4 linked regions of the Callithrix jacchus genome follow. The protein of the gene in region 4 interacts with the protein of the main gene of each other region in a pairwise test. Links are inferred from orthologs where the notes say so. Each region holds a gene or a part of one and is shown on either strand. Other genes may lie near its edges.

Region 1 (5,165 bases), on a different chromosome or scaffold from region 4:
ATACCACTAAACATACACAGAACTTACTTCTCAAGGTCCAATTCAAATACCTCTGTTGACAAGCTTTCTCTTTTTTCAAATTTCCCTACTCTGCAATAGAATGCATTTGCTTCCTCTGCTGTATTAGCAGCATGCTTTATATATATTCCTTTTATTTTATTTTATTTTATTTCGAGACGAAGTTTCACTCTTGTCACCCAGGCTGGAGTACAATGGCACGATCTCGGCGCACTGCAACCTCCGATTCCTGAATTGAAGTGATTATCCTGCCTCAGCCTCCTGAGTAACTAGGATTACAAGTATGTGCCACTACACCAGCTAATTTTTGTATTTTTAGTAGAGACAGGGTTTCTGGACTTGAACACCTGACCTTGGGTGATTAGCCTGCCTTGGCTTCCCAAAGTGCTGGGATTATAGGCATGAGTCAACATGCCTGGCTATGTATATTCTTAATTATCTTAAATATATTAAGAGCAATTAGCAATTGCTCCCTTGTGCTGATATTTGCCTTACATATTTGCTTTCTTTTCTAGACTACCAGTGCAAATGGCTCATTTCTAGTTTCAAACTTTTTGTCACATAGGAAATGTTTGTTAAAAGCTGTTTTATAAAATTTAAAGCTTATTTTACATATTATTCTCATTTGATCTCTCAAGAATTCTGTGAATTTGACAAAGTAGATTGCTCTATATGCATAAGACTGATGAACAAACAGGCTTAGAGATAGTGACCTGCCCAAGGTTAGGAAGCTGTAAGTGTTGGGATTGAATCCCAGGTCTTCTCATTACTTTTTACTAAATTCCATTGAAGGTTATCAACCGACAGACAGGATTACTCTGTGTGTTGGTAACAAAAGGGTGATCAATCATATTTGAAAAACAGACTTTAGTCTTTTCCTTTCCTTCAAACCCACCCCACAATGGAGCATTCTTTCATGCCTCCAATTTAATTCCACCTGGCGAGAAACGTGGGCTAAATATCCTTATTATATCTTAAATCAAATTGCCAAAACTCCACAGGCTACTAAAAGTTAACCCTTACTGAATGCATGAAAAACCTTAGAAGTTCTGCTGTTAAAAGCACGGTGACTGTCAGGATTTTTCAGTGTGTGTGTGTTTTAAGACTTCAGCTCTTCCGTATGATGGATTCCTTTGACTTTGTCTCTATTATTATAGACTTGTAGCTGTTATAACTGTCAGGGTTTTTCAGTGTGTACCAGCGTGTCTGTGTGTCTAAGACTTTCAGCTCTTTCGTGTGATAGATTTCTTGGACTTTGTCTCTATTATTATAGGCTTATAGTCCAGGTAACTACCAAGCATTATCCAAAGGGGAAAGCACCCTGTTAGAAACCAAGAAAAACGGTTTATACTCCCAGTCTGCTATTTCGATTCTAAGCTTTATCTTTATTTAGCTCACAGTTAGAGGCGCATGAAGCCACACCCACCTCACAGATGCCAGACTGGGAGACCAGAAAAGTAAGAGCGACTTGCAAACCTTAGCTCTAAATCCATAAAAAAGACTATCATATGCTCAGATTTCTAGTTTTTGCTAATATACTATAATCCTTATTTTGAAAATAGTGTGCTTCCAATCCTCTTAAAGCGTAAGTCACGTCGCTGCGACCCTCCCTTCGGTGACTCCGGCCTCTCAAGCGACACTCGGCCTTCCAGCTTTTCGGCAGGGCTGCACCGAACGAGGAAAAGCGGCGCCTGTGGTGACGCACGTATTCCGCGCAATGACGTCACTGCCAGGCGCCGGGCGATACCTTGTGTCTGTTTTCGGCGGGCTTAGCAGGGACAAAAATGTCTATGGCTAGCGATTTCTATCTGCGCTACTACGTAGGGCACAAGGGCAAGTTTGGGCACGAGTTTCTGGAGTTCGAATTTCGGCCGGACGGTGAGAAGAGGCCCACGGCACGCGGTGCTAGGAAAGGGGAGCGAGACCTAGAGTCCGTGGAGAAGGCGAGGGGAGGCCGGGTGGTGTGGGGTGAGCCGAGCTTCTGTAGGCTTGAGAGTGTGCAGGGGGCGGAGGCCACTGCTTTCCCCGAAGGAAATAGGAGCTTAAGAATATAGGAGGCCCAAGTTGGTTTTATAAAGTAAAGAGAATTGCTATAAATTAAAGCTAATCCTGTCACAAACTGAAAAGTTGAACCTACAGTAATTATAATTTTTTAACAGTGCATCTGAAGGGACTTGAAAGGTTCTGGAGATGGTCGCCATAATTAAAAATGCTAGCATCTTTTTGAAAACACCCCCACCATTGGTGGTCCAATAGATGAATAAAATCTTGCAACCAGTACATTTTGTTCGTTCAGGCTGTGTGTGTTATTTGAAGGGGAGGAGCTCGACGTGTTAACAAATGAGAATAATAATATGTTTTAGGTGCTTAAGTATAATTGTTCACCACAGCATGTATATAGAGTATCAAAAAAGAGGAGAGAGGCAAAGTTCCACAGGAGGGAATCAGGAAAATCTTCCTAGATGACGACACTACTGAGATGAGTCTGGAAATGAGAGACTTGGCCTTTGAGAGAGAAAAAAACCAGACTTCCAGAGCAGAATGAGCCGAGGACCAGGTGAAACTGCTACCCATGTAGTGTGCAACAATTTGTGTTTTCTGACAGCACTATCCTTAGAGAATGTTACATTGATCTTGCCTACCTCCAACAAGAAAGTTCATTTGGAAACATATTTTTTGGGTTTTTTTGAATGCACATTTTGTGCTGGGCAACAAGCAAATACAAAATTTGAAGATACAATAGTAAGACTTAAATTTAACTCAAAGAGATTGGTCTTGGTGGGAGACACAGACGTTTAACTATAAGGCAATATGCATATTAAGTCCTATAAGCATGTTTTGGACAATGTTCTGTGAGAGCAAGAATAGAAAATTACAGGAGGAGTGTATATTAGGAAAAGAGGAGAGTACCAAGCACTTCAGACGGAACTCACGTTAACTACAGTCCTGCAGTTATTATTTTTTTTGAGACAGGGTCTCACTGTGTCACTCCGATCTGAGTGCAGTGGCACAGTCTCAGCTCGCTACAACCTCTGCCTCTCGGGCGCAAGTGATCCTCCCACTTCAGCCTCCCGAGTTGCTGGGAGTAAGGCCCGTGACACCTCTCCTGACTCATTTTTCTTTTCGGTAGAGACAGGTTTTCCCATGTTGCCCAGGCTGGCCTCAAATTCTCGAGGTCAAGTGATTCAGCTGCCCGAAGTCCTGGGATTACACGGATGAGCCACTGCACCCAGCCAGCCCTGCAGTTATTTAGAAACCTTAATCGCTGTATTCAACCTTACTCTCTCCATAAATTCAGCTAAATTTACCTGAATTGATCTTTCTTTAATATTATTTTCAGTTCCTCTGCCTGTGAACAACATCATGCTTATCCCTATCCCTTTTAGCAGGTCACATAAATTAAGTACCTGAATATTATCAGGGAAATTGTATGGTAGAACAATGGTTCTAATCAATGTAGCTGCCACCGCGCCATTCCACATACCTCCATTGGTAATAGTGAGTCCTGAAGACTGGCATCTTTTTTCTTTTTCTTTTCTTTTTTTCTTTTTTGAGACTGGAATCTTGCTCTGTCGCCCAGGCTGGAGTGCAATGGTGTGATCCTGGTTCACTGCAACCTCGGCCTCCTGGGTTCAAGGGATTCTCCTGCCTCAGCCTCCTGAGTAGCTGGGATTGTGGGCATGCGCCACCACATCCAGCTAATTTTTCACCATGTTGGCCAGGCTCGTCTTGAACTGCTGACATCAGGTGATTCACCCACCTCAGCCTCCCAAAGTGCTGGGATTACAGGCATGAGCCACTGTCCCTGGCCATCAAAGACTGGCATTTCCATCATTTTAGAGTATCTGCAGTACATTGTACCTGTGTCTGGGCAACTGACTGGCCATAAGGGGAAGTATACATCAGAGAATACAAAAATCGTGATGGATTAAAATTAAATATAAACCAGCCAACAAACTCACCAACTTTGACCCAGAAGCATTGTTTGTATGCTTCTTAGTCATAATTCTAAAATGTCTGCATTATCATAATTGTATGCATACACTGGAAGGAAAGAAATTAAAACATTTTGTGTAGTGGAGAAAGCATGAGTATTGAAAGAAAGTAGATTTAGAGCTGAATCTTGTGTGACCCTGGTTAAGTTACTTTGTTTTCTCTCCTATGAATACGTGAGATAATAAAACTTGTTTTTTAGGGTTGTTTTAAAGATTAAATGCTCTGGGTAAGACACTTAGCACCAATACGGACATATAACAAACTTGAAAGGAATGTTAGTGCCTTTTGCAGATTCTCTTTCTAGTTCATGATGTAGCTTAAGAAAACAGGCCTTAAAAATGACCCAATATATAGTATAGGCATGGGCTATTTAAATATTTGGCCACCTTCAACTTCAGCAAACTTAACCAGCAAATATTTATTGTCTACATTTCTGCATCTTACACAAGGAGGGAGGAAATACTAATAAAAGTAGTAGTATCAAATGGTTTTTGCCTTCATAATTGTATACAATGTCATTAATTTTTTTTTGGCAGTTTTTGCTATTATAAATTGATTTTTTTTCTCCACTTCTCACAGGAAAGCTTAGATATGCCAACAACAGCAATTACAAAAATGACGTAATGATCAGAAAAGAGGTAAGTTATATTCAAATGTCTTTTAGCCCATTTTCTTCAAGTGTGTGTTGAATTTACAAAAATACATCTAAGTTTCCATTGTAAATAAGAAGCCAATTTATAGATAGAAAGGCATTTCTGTTTCAAATAGATACAATTGTTGCATCCATAGTGATGAGAAAGTTCAGAGAACTAACTGTGATGTGAACTATACTTGCATTTATCTATTTATTTATTTTTATTTTTTGAGACAGAGTCTCGCTCTGTCGCCTAAGCCGGAGTGCAGTGGTGCGATCTCAGCTCACTGCAGCCTCTGCCTTCCAGGCTCATGCGATTCTCCTGCCTCAGTATACTTCCATTTATTACTGTTCACCTTATAGATCTTGTGACGTCACAAGTTAACCAGTCGGAGGTATTTGGATCTCAATGTTACAAAGGCAGAATACAGTGTTTTCAAAGGCAGGTAATGATGAGAAGAGGGAAAAAATATATGTTAAAGGAAAGGGCAAGAGATGAAGAAAAGTAATATAACAA
Region 2 (4,974 bases), on a different chromosome or scaffold from region 4:
CACTCACATAGGATGTACACTGAGTAAATGACTTTGTAATTTTACTTCATCCTCTTCATTTACGTAGGGCATACACCCAGTAACCAATGGGAAACCCCTAGAGGGTATTGAAACCCCAGAAAATTCTGTAACAAGGGCCCTTGAGCCCCTTTCTCAGGCCCACTCCCACCCTGTAAAGTGTCTTTTCATTTTCAGTAAATCTCTGCTTCTGTTGCTTTGTTCTTTCCTGGCTTTGTTTGTGTGTTCCATCCAGTTCTTTGTTCAAAATGTCAAAAACCTGGCCAACTTGCAGTCCAGACCCTTCTCCAGTACACGACATTATGTAAGTATTTGGTTGATGTTAGTGTGATCACTGGATAGGTTCTTCCTGCCTGCTTCACAAATAAAATCAATTCGAGGAGACCTCGGCATTGCAGTGAAGAAAGAGTTTAATTGATGTGAGGCTGGCCAGGCCATGTGGGAGATGGAGTTATTACTCAAATCAGTCTCATCCAAGGCTAGTAGCTTAGGGGTTTTTCAAAGGCAGTTTGGTGGGCAGGAGCTAGGTTATGGGAAGTGCTGACTGGCTGGGTTGGAGACGAACTCCTAGGGGGTCAAAGGAAGCTGCCTCTTGTACTGACTTGTGTGTGGGCAGGGCCACAGGAGCAGTTGACTGGTCCAGGAGGAGCCATCAGTGTCAGGCATGCAAAAAATCTGAAACGATATCTCAAAGGGCCAAACTTAGGTTCTACAATAGTAATGTTATCTGCAGGAGTAAATGGGGAAGTTGTCTATCTGGTGGCCTCCGGAATAATGGCTGGCAATGGTCTATGTCTACACCTTAACAAACAGAAGTCAGGCTCTGCTATCCTCCTAGCCTGGTGGTCTCTCATTTAGCTTTACAAAGGCAGTTGAGTTTTGGGAAAGGGCCATTATCATTTAAACTATAAACTAAGTGTCTCCCAAAGTTAACTTAGCCCAAGCTCAGGAATAATTAAGGGTAGCTAAAGGCAAGATAGGGGTTGGTTAAATCAGATCTCTCCCACTGTCATAATTTTCTCACTGTTAGAATTTTTGCGAAGTCTGTTTCATCAGTACCCTACTCATTTAGGTGAAATAAACAATGGGTATTTTATGTGTTCCGATGAGTATCAGTATCACATAACTGTCAGGGCCCCAGGTATCTGTCCCTGTTCAGAAGGATCATGAAGATGAATACTGCGATGCGGACAGCTTGCCCGACTCAGTGAACTCAGAACTTGTCCTCAGTAGCCGGCTCCTGTGGGCCAGGGATTGCAAACTTCGACTTGCCGGCAGTGACACCTGTTTTCCATCATTCTCCTTGCGGTACTTTGTAGCAGGAGCAGCGTGGGAGTCAACAAAGAGAAAGCACAAGCGTCTGTGGAGCGCGGGGTGGAGTCTCGGGAGAGGAGGACCTGGGTGGGAAGAGGCGCGGCAGGAGGCGGTGCCCCGGCTCGCATTGGCTAAGCCCGCGTCCCTCCCCTCGGGGCTGCTGGCGCGCCCGGAAAAGTGGCTTCGCCTGAAGGCGAGAGGCAGAGGTACCCTCGGTGACAGAGGAAACATGGCCGAGTATACGCGGCACAACGCCTTGGCGCTGATCCGCTTCCGAAACCCGCCGGTCAACGTGATCAGGTAACCGGCTCCGTCGCCTCCAGCCCTGGGACCGTGGGGGCCTTATCCGCCCGCGGCTCTGGAGGCTTTGACTGTCCCCGGCTGGTTTAAACGGAGAAAGACACTGACAGTTGAGCAACTGGTATATGCCAGGAGCCTGCCTGCTTTCCCTCCTTCCTTCCTTCCCTCCCTCCCTCTCTCCTTTCTTTCTCTCTCTCCTTACTTCCCTCCTTTCCTCCCCGCCTCCCTCCCTCCTTCCTTCCCTCGCTCCCTCTCTCACTTTCTCTTTCCTTCCTTCTTTCCCTCCTTCCCTCCCTCTTTCTCTCATCTCTCTCTCTCTCCCCTTCCTTCCTTCCCTCCCTCCTTCCCTCCTTGCTTCCTTCCTTCCTTCTTTCCTTCACTCCCTCTCTTCTTTCTTTCTCTCTCTCCTTCCTTCCCTCCCTCTTTCTCTCCTTTCTCTCTCTCTCTCTTTCTTTCCTTCTCCTAGATTAGCTTGGTTAATCTTTGCAGAGAACTCTCGTCCCCATTTTCCTGGTAAGGAAACAGAGGCTGAGACACATGCTAACTTAGGGAGCTGGCGTTGCCCTGTCCGTCCTGGGAACCCTTCTGCTTACTTGCAGCTTTGGCGTCTCTAATGCAAAGGTCTTAACTTAGTTGCATTTTGGACTTTGATCCAGCCTCACTCCCCAACTTTGAGTCCAGGCTGCCCTTACCATGTTTGGCTAAAAGCTTTAGGAATTGGGCAATAAAATGTTTTAACATTAAAAAAAAAAAATGAAGTCCCACTAATGCCAAGGTAGTGATTAAAGCAGAATTGTGCCCTGACTCACAAACGCAAAATTATTTCTCCTGATTTGTTTAAACCTCAAGACTGGTGCTTCCGAGGAAGACTCACATCCAACTAAGCCTGTGTACCAGCAGTTTCTGAAAAACTGCACCTTGTCTTCTTTTTCTCACTGGGGAGTACTTGCCGTGTGTACTGCACTTAAAACATTACTTTAAAAAGTGAGATCAGCCTGGCATGGTGGCTCATGCCTGTAATCCTTGCACTTTGGGAGGCTGAGGCGGGTGGATCACCTAAGGTCAGTAGTCCGAGACCAGCCTGGCCAACATGGTGAAACATCATCTTCACTAAAGATACAAAAATTAGCTGGATGTGGCGGTGCATGCCTATGGTCCCAGCTACTTGGGGCTGGGACTATAGGCTGAAGCAGGAGAATAGCTTGAACCCAGGAAGCAGAGGTTGCAGTGAGCAGAGATCCTGCGCTAATGCACTCTAGCGTGGGCGACAAAAGTGAGACTCCGCCTCAAAAAAAAAAGTGAGATCAGTGTTGTCGTTTTGAATAGTAATGAATTTATTTGGTCCTTCTGCATCTCTTTAAAAAAGTAGTTATACATCAGCCTTGAAAAAAGAATTACCTATCTACAGGGAATAGGATTAGTGGAAATTATAATTTACCAAGAATATATATGGCATAGAGAGAAATGTCTTTGGTCAAAATTCTTATGTGCTGTTGGAGCAAAAAGATTGAAATGAGAAGATCTGCTGATTTTAATAGAATTTAAAAATCTTACTGTCATCAGATTTATCATTAGAATTTTTATTTCGGTATGATTTATTGCATTTAGTAATATGCCAAAAAAATGCAGCACTAAAATCACATAAGGATGACATGTCTACTAACTTGGCATTCCCAGAATAAAAAGCAAAATATCTGTTATGTTGATTTTAACAAAGAAAAATGTAAGTAATATGATTACATGTCCATTTTGGACTGGTCTGTATACTGATTAGAATTGCTAGATGTTAGGACCTTAGGGGGAAAGTTCCATCCTCTAACACCCATGACTAGGCATATTTTCTGGCAACTGTTTTAAATGCTTCTGGAATTTAACCTGTTCTCCCTGCCCACCCATGCCACCACCTGTGCCACCCCCATCCCTTTTTGCAGGAGAAATGTTAGTGTCTACCTCATAAAGTTATAAAGTTTAAATCAGCTGGAAATTGTAAACTGGCATTTAATGGATGTCAGCTATCATTCGTATTAGTCAGAAGACCTATTCAAGCCCTTACCAACAGGCCTTGCTACCCAGGCTCCACTTCAGTTTCATCAGGAAGATTTTCTCCATTTGGAAATAAGGACTTCTCTGCCCTTTTTCATCTGTTTTTTGAACTTTTTTTTAAAGTGGAAATGTACATCCTTGCAGTTCCTCAAGTTTAACAGATTCCTCAATTTTTTTATTTCACTTTTCTTTCCTTCCTCCCTTGCTTCCTTTCTCCTTCCTATTTCTAATTCTATATGGGAAGTCATCTCTTCCCAGCTCATTGAGAGATTCTTACTTGAGTATACACACATACACACACACAAACACACAAACATGTATATACATATATAAATTTTTCCCCCTGAAAAAATAGTTTAAATCCTTCATTGCTAGTTTAGCCAGCCATGTTTGCTTCCATTCAGATAAACACCAGCCCTCTTTATACATGTAGGACATGCCTGATTAATAGGCTGTCTCCCAGGACAGTGGCTTTCACACTTTTGCTTTAAGCTTATGTTTTTACATAGCAATTCAAGACACACTTACATACAAACGCGTAACAGAAAACAAAGTTTCCTAAAACAAAACCTATCCTTACATGGTATATTGTTTGATATATTCTATTTTCTTTTCTCTTTCTTTTTTTTTTTTTTTTGAGATAGAGTCTTGCTCTGTCGCCAGGCTGGAGTGCAGTGATGCAGTCTTGGCATGCTGCAACCTCCACCTCCTGGGTTCAAGCGATTCTCCTGCCTCAGCCTCCTGAGTAGCTGGGATTACAGGTGCCCACCACCATGCCCAGCTAATTGTTTTGTTTTTTTTTTTTGAGACAGAGTTTCACTCTTTTACCCAGGCTGGAGTGCAGTGGGGCAATCTCAGCTCACTGCAACCGCCGCCTTCAGGTTTTCAAGCAATTCTCTTGCCTCAGCCTCCCAAGTAGCTGAGACTAAAGGCACGCACCACCACACCCAGTGTTTTTTTTTTTTTTTAATTTTAGTAGAGATGGGGTTTCACCATGTTGGCCAGGATAGTTCAGTCTCCTGATCTCATGATCCTCCTGCCTCAGGCTCCCAAAGTGCTGGGATTACAGGCATGAACCACTGCACCCAGTGGATATATTCTATTTTCTCTTCCTTTTCTTTAAAAAAATCCTGGACACAAGCCACAAAATTGATTTGATGACCTTTGGTTTAGAAAAAAAAAACTGTCTATGAAAAGAAAGAAATTCTATAGTCAAAGAAGTTGAAGAGCTTTGGTCATGAAGCACTGTCTATACTCCAGACTCTCTTCATGCCTGACAGTATTAACAGGAGAAAATAA
Region 3 (5,078 bases), on a different chromosome or scaffold from region 4:
AAAACTTGGACAAGAAAGATTGATTCATACATTTTTAGATAATACACAGAACTGTCTACTGCTTGGTAAATCTACCCACATAAACCATTATTCAGGTTGCAAATGCTCGTACTCTATTTGACCATAGTAATCCAGATATCATCATAAAAGCTTCAGCCCAAAATGAGTAAATTAAAGACTTATTAAAGTAAAGCTAAAATGCATATATCATTCCCTCATTGGGCTAGGCATAGGTAAACATTCACTAAAAACATTCATTAAATCCCTGACGTCTATCTACCTGACGTATCAAGTGTATTCTGGAGAGACCTGAGCTTTCAATTCAACAAGCATTTTTCAAGTGCCTAGGTGACAGGCATTGTGCCACAAAAATGAGGAATCACGAAGCTCAGTCCAGTAAGGAAGACTTCTGCTCTCATTCCATAAAGATAAAAAATGTTTCTCTTTTCAAATGCAATTTAACTGCCAAATTTCAGCAAAATTATTTTAAAATGATATAAAAATGGAATGATACCCTTCCCACCCCGAAAGCAGTCAAAACTTTACTGGAAAGACATTCGAAAGTTTCAAAGTATTTGTAGGTAAAATAACAAATATGAAAGCGGCTTCTCACCAAGCCCTTTAGCCAACCAGTTGTTGACTCCCTGGGGTGCAGCATCATAGGCTGTGTGAGGAGAGTAGATAGCCACTCTGTTCTCCAGAGCCCGGATCACCAGGCGCTCCTTCCAGGTGTTCCACGTTATGCGTTTCATGGGTCGGAAGATAGGTGGATGGTAGGAGAGAATGAGGTCTGCCTTCCTCTGCAGCACCTCCTCCATCACTTCCTCAGTCAGGTCATTCGTCAGGAAGAGGGTATTTACAGTATGTGGTGGGCTTGGTTCCACCAGTAATCCAACATTGTCCCAACTCTCAGCAAAGGAGAGGGATGCAAAGTCATTCAAGGAAGAAAGGAGAGCCTTCAAATCCATGAAGGAACGGGAAGAATTGCAGATCAGGGAATCTATAAACCGGACTGTCGTGGGGACCGGGCGTACACAAGATGACAACATACAGAAATCAGGTAAAAGTCGTTTCTGAAGTCAAAACAAAGAAAATGGTACACATGTACACTTTAGGCCTGGATCTTTGAGGCATCAAATCATATGGACAAGAGTTGTCATCATAGAGATCTGGGTTCAAATAGTGGCTCTGCCACTTACCAGCACACTGTAGCTTAGGTAAGCCATTTAACCTCTCTTGTTTTCTCGCCTAGGAAATGGAGATACTATAACCCACCTCACAGGCCATCTAGAGGACCAAATGAATTACATAACCCAGCAGAGCCTGGTATATAATACACAAATGTCCATCCCGTCTCCTGTCTCACACACCTTGTTCTCATTCTTCCCACTCTTGCTTCAACCAACCTTCTCCCTAATCCATTTCTCTAAATATTACCTTCCCTTTTCCCAAGCCCCCTTCAACTTCTTAAATAAAACTTTTCTTGACAAACCTTCCTTTTCAGCATCTTTCCTAAGGCTCCCCACCCCTCAGTGTTCTCAGAATTGCGTGTGTGCTCCATTATGCTGAAGCTACTAGGGAACAGGAACTATCTTTAATAAATCTCGGTATAACCAATATATAAGCCAGCACTAAATGCTAACTGCATAGAATGACCTTGCCTACCTCCCGACTCCCGATTACAACAGAATTTGGAGTTGGGTGGCATATACTGGCATTACAACACACTTTATCAAAAACCAGAATAATGTTTAAAATTTCAAGTGCTTTATCAGCATTAAGAATCAAGGCATACATAGGGAGGTCACTCTACAAATGGGCAGGGTCAAGGCAGGAGAAGGGAGAAGCCACTGCCCGTTAAGCAACATTTGCTACACGAAGGCCAGGCTCAAGAGGTGGGAGGGGGTAAGATATAGAGCACTTTCCCCACACAGCCTGTAAGCCTTCTAAATATCTACATCCAACAAGGAACTGAAAAGGCTGGCAACAAAGGGAAGGTGGGAGGGCAACGGAGAGACAGAAAAAAATTGCTGGCTCCAAAATATGCACAATTAGTAAATGTTTAATCAAATAACTACAAAAGATAATGCTGTCAACCCCATTCTTAAACTTACTACCTATAAACACTTTTTGAAGAAAAGCATAGTCAATTGCAAATTTGATGAAATATCCATAAGCCAATTATTCCACAAGCAATTTTTCTTTTTTTTTTTTTGAGACGGAGTTTTGCTGCTGTTACCTAGACTGGAGTGCAATGGCATGATCTCGGCTCACCGCAACCTCCGCCTTCTGGGTTCAAGCAATTCTCCTCCCTCAGCCTCCCGCGTAGCTGGGACTACAGGCGTGCACCACCATGCCCAGCTAATTTTTTTTTGTATTTTTAGTAGAGACAGGGTTTCACCTTGTTGACCAGGATGGTCTTGATCTCTTGACCTCGTCATCCACCCGGCCTCCCAAAGTGCTGGGATTATAGGCGTGAGCTACCACGCCCGGCCCAATTTTTCAACATTTCTATTTAATGAGATGGGGATGTTTATTTAATGCATTATTTGAAGTAATACAGGGTCTCCAAAAACCACTCAAGGTCTTGAAAGTTTTTGTTTTTTTCATTTTGAGACAGGGATTCACTCGTCACCTAGGCTGGAGTGCAGCGGTGCGGGTTTCAGGTCACCGGAGCCTCGACTTCCTGGCCTCAAACAGATCCTCCCACCTCAGCCTCCTGAGTAACTAGGACTATAGGCGCAGAACACCACACCTGGCTAATTTTTGTATTTTTAGTAGAGATGGGATCTTGCCATGTTGCCCAAGGCTGGTCTCAAACTCCTGCACTCAAGCGATCCACCTTGCCTCGGCCTCCCAGAGTGCTGGGATTACAGGCATGAGCCACTGCGTCCGGCCTTGGAAGATATTCTAATGATCCTCACAGTACTCCGTTCTCCAGCCTCTTCTACATCTGGCAAGCTCGAAAGTGAAACCCTTGCGGGCCGCCATGCAGGTTTTGAGTTATTTACTGTTACAGATGAGGAAACTGAGAGGCTCCATGGCCACTGTCAACAACGACAACAGGAGGCAGCACAGTATGGTGGGAGGGACTCTGAAGTCAGAGTCACAGTTGTGCAACAACAGGCAAATGAGTTATCATCTGCAGTTTCCTCTGGGGCAGCAAATAGTGCCACGGCCACAATATCGCGAGATTCACACGTAAAGCTGGAAACAGCTCTCGTACTAAGGTAAGCACTGTTTTTGCTATTAAGTAGCATCAGCAGGGCCCCTTTGCAGCCTGCAAATCGCTCCCTCTACCTTACCTAATTTTGCCTCATTTCATGTCTTTTCCAGGACAGTGAAAACAGCCAGTAAGTATGAGTAAGGACCCCCAGTACACAGTGCTGTCTCGTGGCGGGGTAGTTTTCTGACCCAATCTCTTCTGCTTGCCTCTGCAGCATCAACATAACAATCACAGCCTGCCCTAACCTGAACCTTCCGCGAAGGTCACAACTACACTCGCGGGTTTTTAAATCGCGCACAACTCACCAGTCCCGGGAACTTCTTACGTCACTTCCGGTCCTGCGTCGGCGCTCGTGGCGCTGTGGTAATGGGTTCCCAGTAGCTGGAAAGCTGGGCGGAAGTGGTCCTTTCAGTTCGGCAACCGAGTGTAAAACATTGCCTGAGGTTACCCGGATAGTTTTGCCTTACGCTTCTTGTCCCAGTGGAATTATTAAGAGCTCCCTTTCACTGTCAAATTTCCGGTGGGGGATAAATTACAGTGTCGTTTTGGTTTGAGAGAGGAAGGAGTGGGGAGGAGAGAGATGAGGCGGTAAGGGGCGTTCTCTCTCTTGGTTCCCGCGCCCAACTTCCGCTGGCCTATAGAAACTATAATTTTGAACCAACAGAACTCTGCTGGCTTGTGCGATTGCATTTTTCCTCTTTTAACAGCGGCTGTGCTAAACGAAGTGGTGAAGCCCAAGTATGGAGCAACGTCATTAATTCTTTCATTCACTTATTCGAATACTTGCTGAGCTCTGTGTTGCTACTGGTTTAGTTCTTGGGATACTGCGAGTGAACAGTGGGCAACGAGGCTGTTGTTGCAACGTGAGAATAAGAGAAGGGCCGGGTACGGTGGCTCACGCTAGTAATCCCAGCACTTTGGAAGGCCGAGCCGGGTGGAACCCCTGTGGCGCGTGCCTGTAATAACACCTACTCGGGAGGCTGAGGCAAGACAATCACTTGAACCCGGGAGGCGGAGGTTGCAGTGATCCGAGATCACGCCACTACACGCCAGCCTGGCGACGGAGCGAGGTTCCGTCTCAAAAATAAAGGGAGAGAAGTTAATAGTATATTAGTAGTAAGTGCTGTGGGAGAAGGAAATAGGAATGTCCTCGGTCTCAAGCAGTTTTATGTAGGGTTGTCAGGTCAGTTAAACTTGACATTTAAGCAGAAATTTGGAGGTGAGGAAATTAGCTGTAGAGATGTCTTGAGTGTAATAAGCATTCCAGGCAAAAGGGACACCCAGTGCCTAGCCCCTAAGGGAAGGTATCTGGCTTACTGGGGGACTTGCAAGGAGGCTCTTGAAGAAGAGCAAGCAGGGCAAGTCGGAGATTGGGAGGCTTGAATCGGGTAGGGTCTCTTATCATTACTCTATAGCTGGGTTTTTATTACATAGGGGATGCCATTAGAAGAATTTTTTTTTGTTGAGACGGAGTCTGTCTCTGTCACCCAGGTTGGCAGTGGCGGGATCTCGCCTCACTGCAACCACCGCCTCCGGGGTTCAAGCGATTCTCCTGCCTCAGCCTCCAGAGTAGCTGAGACTATAGAGAAGTGCCATCACGCCCCGCTAATTTTTGTGTTTTTAATAGAGACAGGATTTCGCCGTGTTGGCCAGGCTGGTCTTGAACTCCTGACCTCAGGCGATCCACCCGCCTTGGCCTCCCAAATTGCTGGGATTACAGGCGTGAGCCACCATTCTGGGCGAGGATTTTTATTTAAAATGTGCAGTAAAGGTGAGTGTGTGTGAATTAGGAAGATAGAAATATGAGCCTAATTCTTTTTTTCTTTTGGGACTAGAGACTTACTTTTGACCC
Region 4 (4,548 bases):
TGTCAAAATATTATGATACAGATAATTGCAATACTCATTCTTGAGAGAATTGAGGAATGAATTATACTAGGTAATCTGGCACCCATATATTATTTAAAACATAAAATATTGAAGCATTCTGGAGATTTTACTTAAACTTGATTATTCAATGAGATTTTATTTGAAATTGTCTTTCACTTCGAACTTATAAACTAGGGTAAATTTAAATTATAGTCAAATACCAATAGCATGAGTCCTGTGAAGCTTTTGAGTTACGCACTAAGAATATTGACGCAGTTGCTGCTCTAGTATTGATGTCCGTATCAAGTGTCCCATTAAATTCTATTTGAGATGTGACTCATTAACTAAAATAAAGCAATAAGTGAGCTTATTGAAATATTCAAGAGCTTTCTGAAAATTCTATCGTCTTTCAAAAATGTTACAAAAATAATTACTTTGAAACTATGTCTTTCTTATGACAAAAGAAACTTGAAAAAGAATTCATCAACTCATTAAAAAATTCTTTTCAGCTGTTCAACTTTGTGCATGGTTATTTTTAGCTATGATTAGAAAAAGAAAACAAACAAAGAGGTAAAGCAGACCCTTTTAGAAATGTATTTTATTATAACAAGGAAGAACATAGAAAAGTTTGAAGAAGAACTCAAGTAAGTTCAGCCACGTAACACTTTTAGGTACTGATAATGAAATAAAAATATGGATTTGATGCTGTATTGTAACGTTTATTTCTTTATGAAATTGTATTGTTGTCATGATTTTTCTCCTAAGGGGTTTAAATATCCACCATAATTGTTTTATTTTTTCAGGAAGAAGGAGCGGTTATTGATTCTTTAAAATTAAATGACGAGATGAAACCTAATCTAGATAGTGTTGATTTATTCAAGAATGGTGGCTCTGGAAATGGTGAAATGAAACCTGGGCTGAAACTGAAAGCAATAAATCTGCCTTTGGATAATCAAGTAACTGAAATTTCAGCTTTGCAGGTGCATTTGAATGAGTTCCAAAAAATCTTATGGAAAGAAAGAGAGTAAGTGCTAATCATTCTCTACCTTAACCAAGTCTGTTTCAAACCACTTAAAATTGTTAACACTGATAGATCGATCATTTGTTAATGTATTTTATCCATGTTTAGTCGTTACGTTTTAGTATTTAAATAAATTAGTTTGACATATATTTTGAATTTTGAAAAGTAATCTATAACTTGTTAGTGTTCTTCATTCTTTTAAATTGACTTTTATCATGACTATGTTCTTACCATCTCTGGTAGATTCACTTTAATTTTTTCTGAATTCTTAATGTCCACGGTTAAAATATCCAGTGTATTATTTAATTTTTACAGCATTTGGACTTGGTCAATAAATATGTTAATTTTAATAGTGGAAAAAAATCACAATTTTGTGAGATACTGATTACAGAATAAGCTGTCTTATACATGGACCATTAGGGCTTCAGGCTTGTGATTAATTGGCCTGGATATTCATCTTTGTTCTGATGTATTCTAGCTATGGGACGTTGGCTGTTGCTGCTTTTGTGAAAATAGCTGTAGTGATGTTATGTTCCAGTTTTCTGTTGTCTTGAAACAAACTTTTCCAAACAATGATCATTAAAACATATCAACAATGATCGCTATGTCTTCTGTTCAAGAATCTTGAGCATGGCTTGGCACGGATATCCTTATCTCTGACTTGTGCCTTCAGCTGCAATGGCTCAAAGTCTGGCATGCTTGGAAGGCTGGGGGCTAGAGCCTCTCTCACTCATATCTCTGGCAGTCCATCTTGGTTCTCATCTAGGCCTCAGCTGGGACACCTGCACTGGGGCTATTTATAAGGCTGTTTGGCTTCCTCACAACATCGGGACTAGGTTACAAGTGAACATCTTAAGAACACAGAGAAGAAAACGCCATTTGAATGACTCTGCCTCACAAATCACTTAGCATCACTTCAGACCCACTGATGGGTGGGCATCTCAAAGGCTGACTCAGATTCAAGAGAGAGGCACTTTCAATGGAAGGAGAGTCAAAACGATTTTATAATAAGGGTGTGTAGGATGCAGTCATTGTGGCAAAGATCTCTGAAAAACACAGTCTGTCATAGCCTTTCTCACTGAATTCTCATGAAAATCAAGAAGAAATAATGTCTGGGGAAGAGGCTAGTAATATGAAATGTTCAATATGGATTTTTGTTTCTTTGTGATTAGCTTACAGTTTTATTAGCCCAATGTAGAATATCTAATATATGTTGAAATATGGTTCCAAAACCTAAAAATAATCATTTTTTATCTCTTAGTTATAAAGTCTTAACAAGCAGAACTGGAAAAGCAAGAGAGATATGTATGCACATATACATACAATATATTATATAAATATAAGTATATATTATATAATAATTTTAAATTATCTGGTTTAAATGGACTGAAATAGGGATAATTTTGCGTACTAGCCATTCACAAATACAGTAAGTTCTTTATCTACCACTTATTTTCTGCCAGAAGTTTCTCATTAGTCCCTGTGAAATTTACTAGTGCCACCACTTGCTTTTTTAGATTCTTCTTCTATATTTCACTAGATGAATAGATTGTGATCATATAAGCATCTGTGTACAGAATAAATACTTATTACTCTACTGAGTGTACATTCCTAAGAGAGGCAACCAATATTAGTGGAAAAAAGAATATAATTAAATTGGATTTTTAGCCTAATATATATAGTGACAATTTTATCTAGACCTATACATGTCAGTCACGTTCTAAACTCTGTGCTTTTATTTCTTGAAGGATTTAACTTTTTGGAAATTACAGACTTCTCTCCAGCCCACTCACAATATTACTTCCCTGATGCAGTCTGATAGGAACAATGTAGAGCTGTGTTTTTCTAGATGTAAACTTTTCTATTCTAAGGTGTCAATTTTAAAGATATGCACGTGTTGTCTTGACACGTTTATCCACATACATGCACACAACATATACTTTTTCCTGTTATGGAATGAATGAACAATTCTCAGGGGAAGTAAATTCTCCAGTTCTCAGTGACTTCAGTCTATAATCTATAGACAGGTCAAAGAATAAGAGAAAAAAGGAGACTTTCCATGGCCTTGTCTTCCCACGCTCCTCTTTAAGAAACAATCCCACGGACATTATGAGTCATGGTGCCTGTGTCCATGAATCAACATTTGCATGCAATCCACATGAGGCAATCACAGTCTATTTTTTTTTTCTATCACAAGAGAACGTTTTCCAAGAATAGAGAATATGCTATTACTTATAAATCCATCTAATCTTTTAAATTCTTTGTCCTGGAATCTCAGTGAGTGGGTGGCTTGAATTGAGAAGATGTGAATGTATTTTTTTCCTGCATTCCTATCTAGTGGGAAAATTCTCTTGACTAGTGCACAGAAATCAGCTCAGAAATTCAGAGAGTCATTTTTCCATTGTCCTTGACTAGAACCTCCTATTCAAATAGATGAAAGTTTATTGATTTATTTGCACTCTGAGTACGGTTCAGTTTTATGAATAATTCTCCAGTATATAAAATTTCTCGTATACTGAGACTTTATATATTTCTGTTGACTTTCATAAAGACTTCCCAGGTAGAAAACTTGGAGTAAGACCAGGAAACCTGATCCTATTATACAGCTGTGTGTACCTAGACATTTAAGAAAAGGAGCTTTGGCAATACCAAATCTCAAGTAACAGAGACTTAGATAAAATATTTTGAACTGTCTTAACATTCAAAATCAGTTTTCAAATTCCACTGCAGATACCTCCTTTATCACTTATAAAATGTTTGCTCTGTGTCTTTTAAGCTGAGCTTCAGGCTGGAGTGCAGTGGTGCAATCTCTACTCATTGCAACCTCAGCCTCCTGGACTCAAGCCATTCTCTCACCTGAGCCTCCCTAGTAGCTGGAATTACAGGCTGTGCCACCATGCCTGGCTAATTTTTTTTTTTTTTCAACTTTCAGTAGAGATGGGGTTTTGCCATATTGCCCATGCTGGTCTCAAACTCTTGGCCTCAAATGATTTACCTGCCTTGGTCTCCCAAAGTTCTGGGGTTACAGGGGTGAGCCACTGTGCCCAGCCCATTTTATTTTCTTAATTAATTTTTTATGTAAGAAAAGTATTATGCTTCAATTGTTTTGCTTTGCTTCATTAAATGTTCAATTTTTTCTTAATAATATGATATTTAAAATCCAGGTTAGAAGTTTCAGCAAATTAAAAATGTTTCAAAGGTTATTTTTTATATATGTATGAGAGAGATAGATTTCTACTTTATATATATAAAGTAGATATATATCTCAATTAATGAATACATTCATTAATATATATGTTATACATAATTATATATTTATATATAATGAATATATAACTCTCAATGAATAAATTGGCATGTAAATCTGGTTAATACTCTTTAATGTAATATTTATAAATATTAGAAAGTCAAGCTTACTTTGTTTCCTTATTAACTGTCCACTTAAGGAATATTCAATAAAGCTTTACCATTTTTTACCTCTCAGCATCTATTTTGTGTTTTGGCAATTTGCTACCAAATGAAACAGA

Evidence for each region. The genes of interacting proteins can lie anywhere in the genome.
Region 1: the proteins of CCDC102B (region 4) and MAGOHB interact in binary tests that used the Homo sapiens proteins (3 or more experiments, as listed by UniProt). The two-hybrid records come from large-scale screens. The link is inferred for Callithrix jacchus from reciprocal best matches to the Homo sapiens genes CCDC102B and MAGOHB.
Region 2: the proteins of CCDC102B (region 4) and EHHADH interact in binary tests that used the Homo sapiens proteins (3 or more experiments, as listed by UniProt). The two-hybrid records come from large-scale screens. The link is inferred for Callithrix jacchus from reciprocal best matches to the Homo sapiens genes CCDC102B and EHHADH.
Region 3: the proteins of CCDC102B (region 4) and NIF3L1 interact in binary tests that used the Homo sapiens proteins (3 or more experiments, as listed by UniProt). The two-hybrid records come from large-scale screens. The link is inferred for Callithrix jacchus from reciprocal best matches to the Homo sapiens genes CCDC102B and NIF3L1.

Annotation. Positions count from the first base shown.
Region 1 is NC_133510.1:12,487,346-12,492,510, forward strand, and holds the start of MAGOHB (protein mago nashi homolog 2), read left to right. Parts: upstream 1-1,725; 5' UTR 1,726-1,802; coding exon 1,803-1,896; intron 1,897-4,593; coding exon 4,594-4,652; intron 4,653-5,165. UniProt on the Homo sapiens protein: Required for pre-mRNA splicing as component of the spliceosome. Plays a redundant role with MAGOH in the exon junction complex and in the nonsense-mediated decay (NMD) pathway.
Region 2 is NC_133516.1:14,235,271-14,240,244, reverse strand, and holds the start of EHHADH (peroxisomal bifunctional enzyme), read left to right. Parts: upstream 1-1,534; 5' UTR 1,535-1,561; coding exon 1,562-1,632; intron 1,633-4,974. UniProt on the Homo sapiens protein: Peroxisomal trifunctional enzyme possessing 2-enoyl-CoA hydratase, 3-hydroxyacyl-CoA dehydrogenase, and delta 3, delta 2-enoyl-CoA isomerase activities. Catalyzes two of the four reactions of the long chain fatty acids peroxisomal beta-oxidation pathway.
Region 3 is NC_133507.1:121,998,596-122,003,673, reverse strand, and holds the start of NIF3L1 (NIF3-like protein 1), read right to left. Parts: upstream 3,441-5,078; 5' UTR 3,231-3,440; coding exon of another isoform or gene 2,797-3,230; 5' UTR 2,402-2,796; exon of another isoform or gene 2,240-2,401; intron 1,074-2,239; 5' UTR 1,050-1,073; coding exon 614-1,049; intron 1-613. Other genes in the region: PPIL3 (peptidyl-prolyl cis-trans isomerase-like 3), read left to right, coding at 2,797-3,230, 3,441-3,589, 3,934-3,964, 5,062-5,078. UniProt on the Homo sapiens protein: May function as a transcriptional corepressor through its interaction with COPS2, negatively regulating the expression of genes involved in neuronal differentiation.
Region 4 is NC_133514.1:111,495,561-111,500,108, forward strand, and holds part of CCDC102B (coiled-coil domain-containing protein 102B), read left to right. Parts: intron 1-803; coding exon 804-1,024; intron 1,025-4,548. UniProt on the Homo sapiens protein: During interphase, forms fibers at the proximal ends of centrioles to maintain centrosome cohesion. During mitosis, dissociates from the centrosome following phosphorylation to allow centrosome separation. Contributes to CROCC/rootletin filament formation.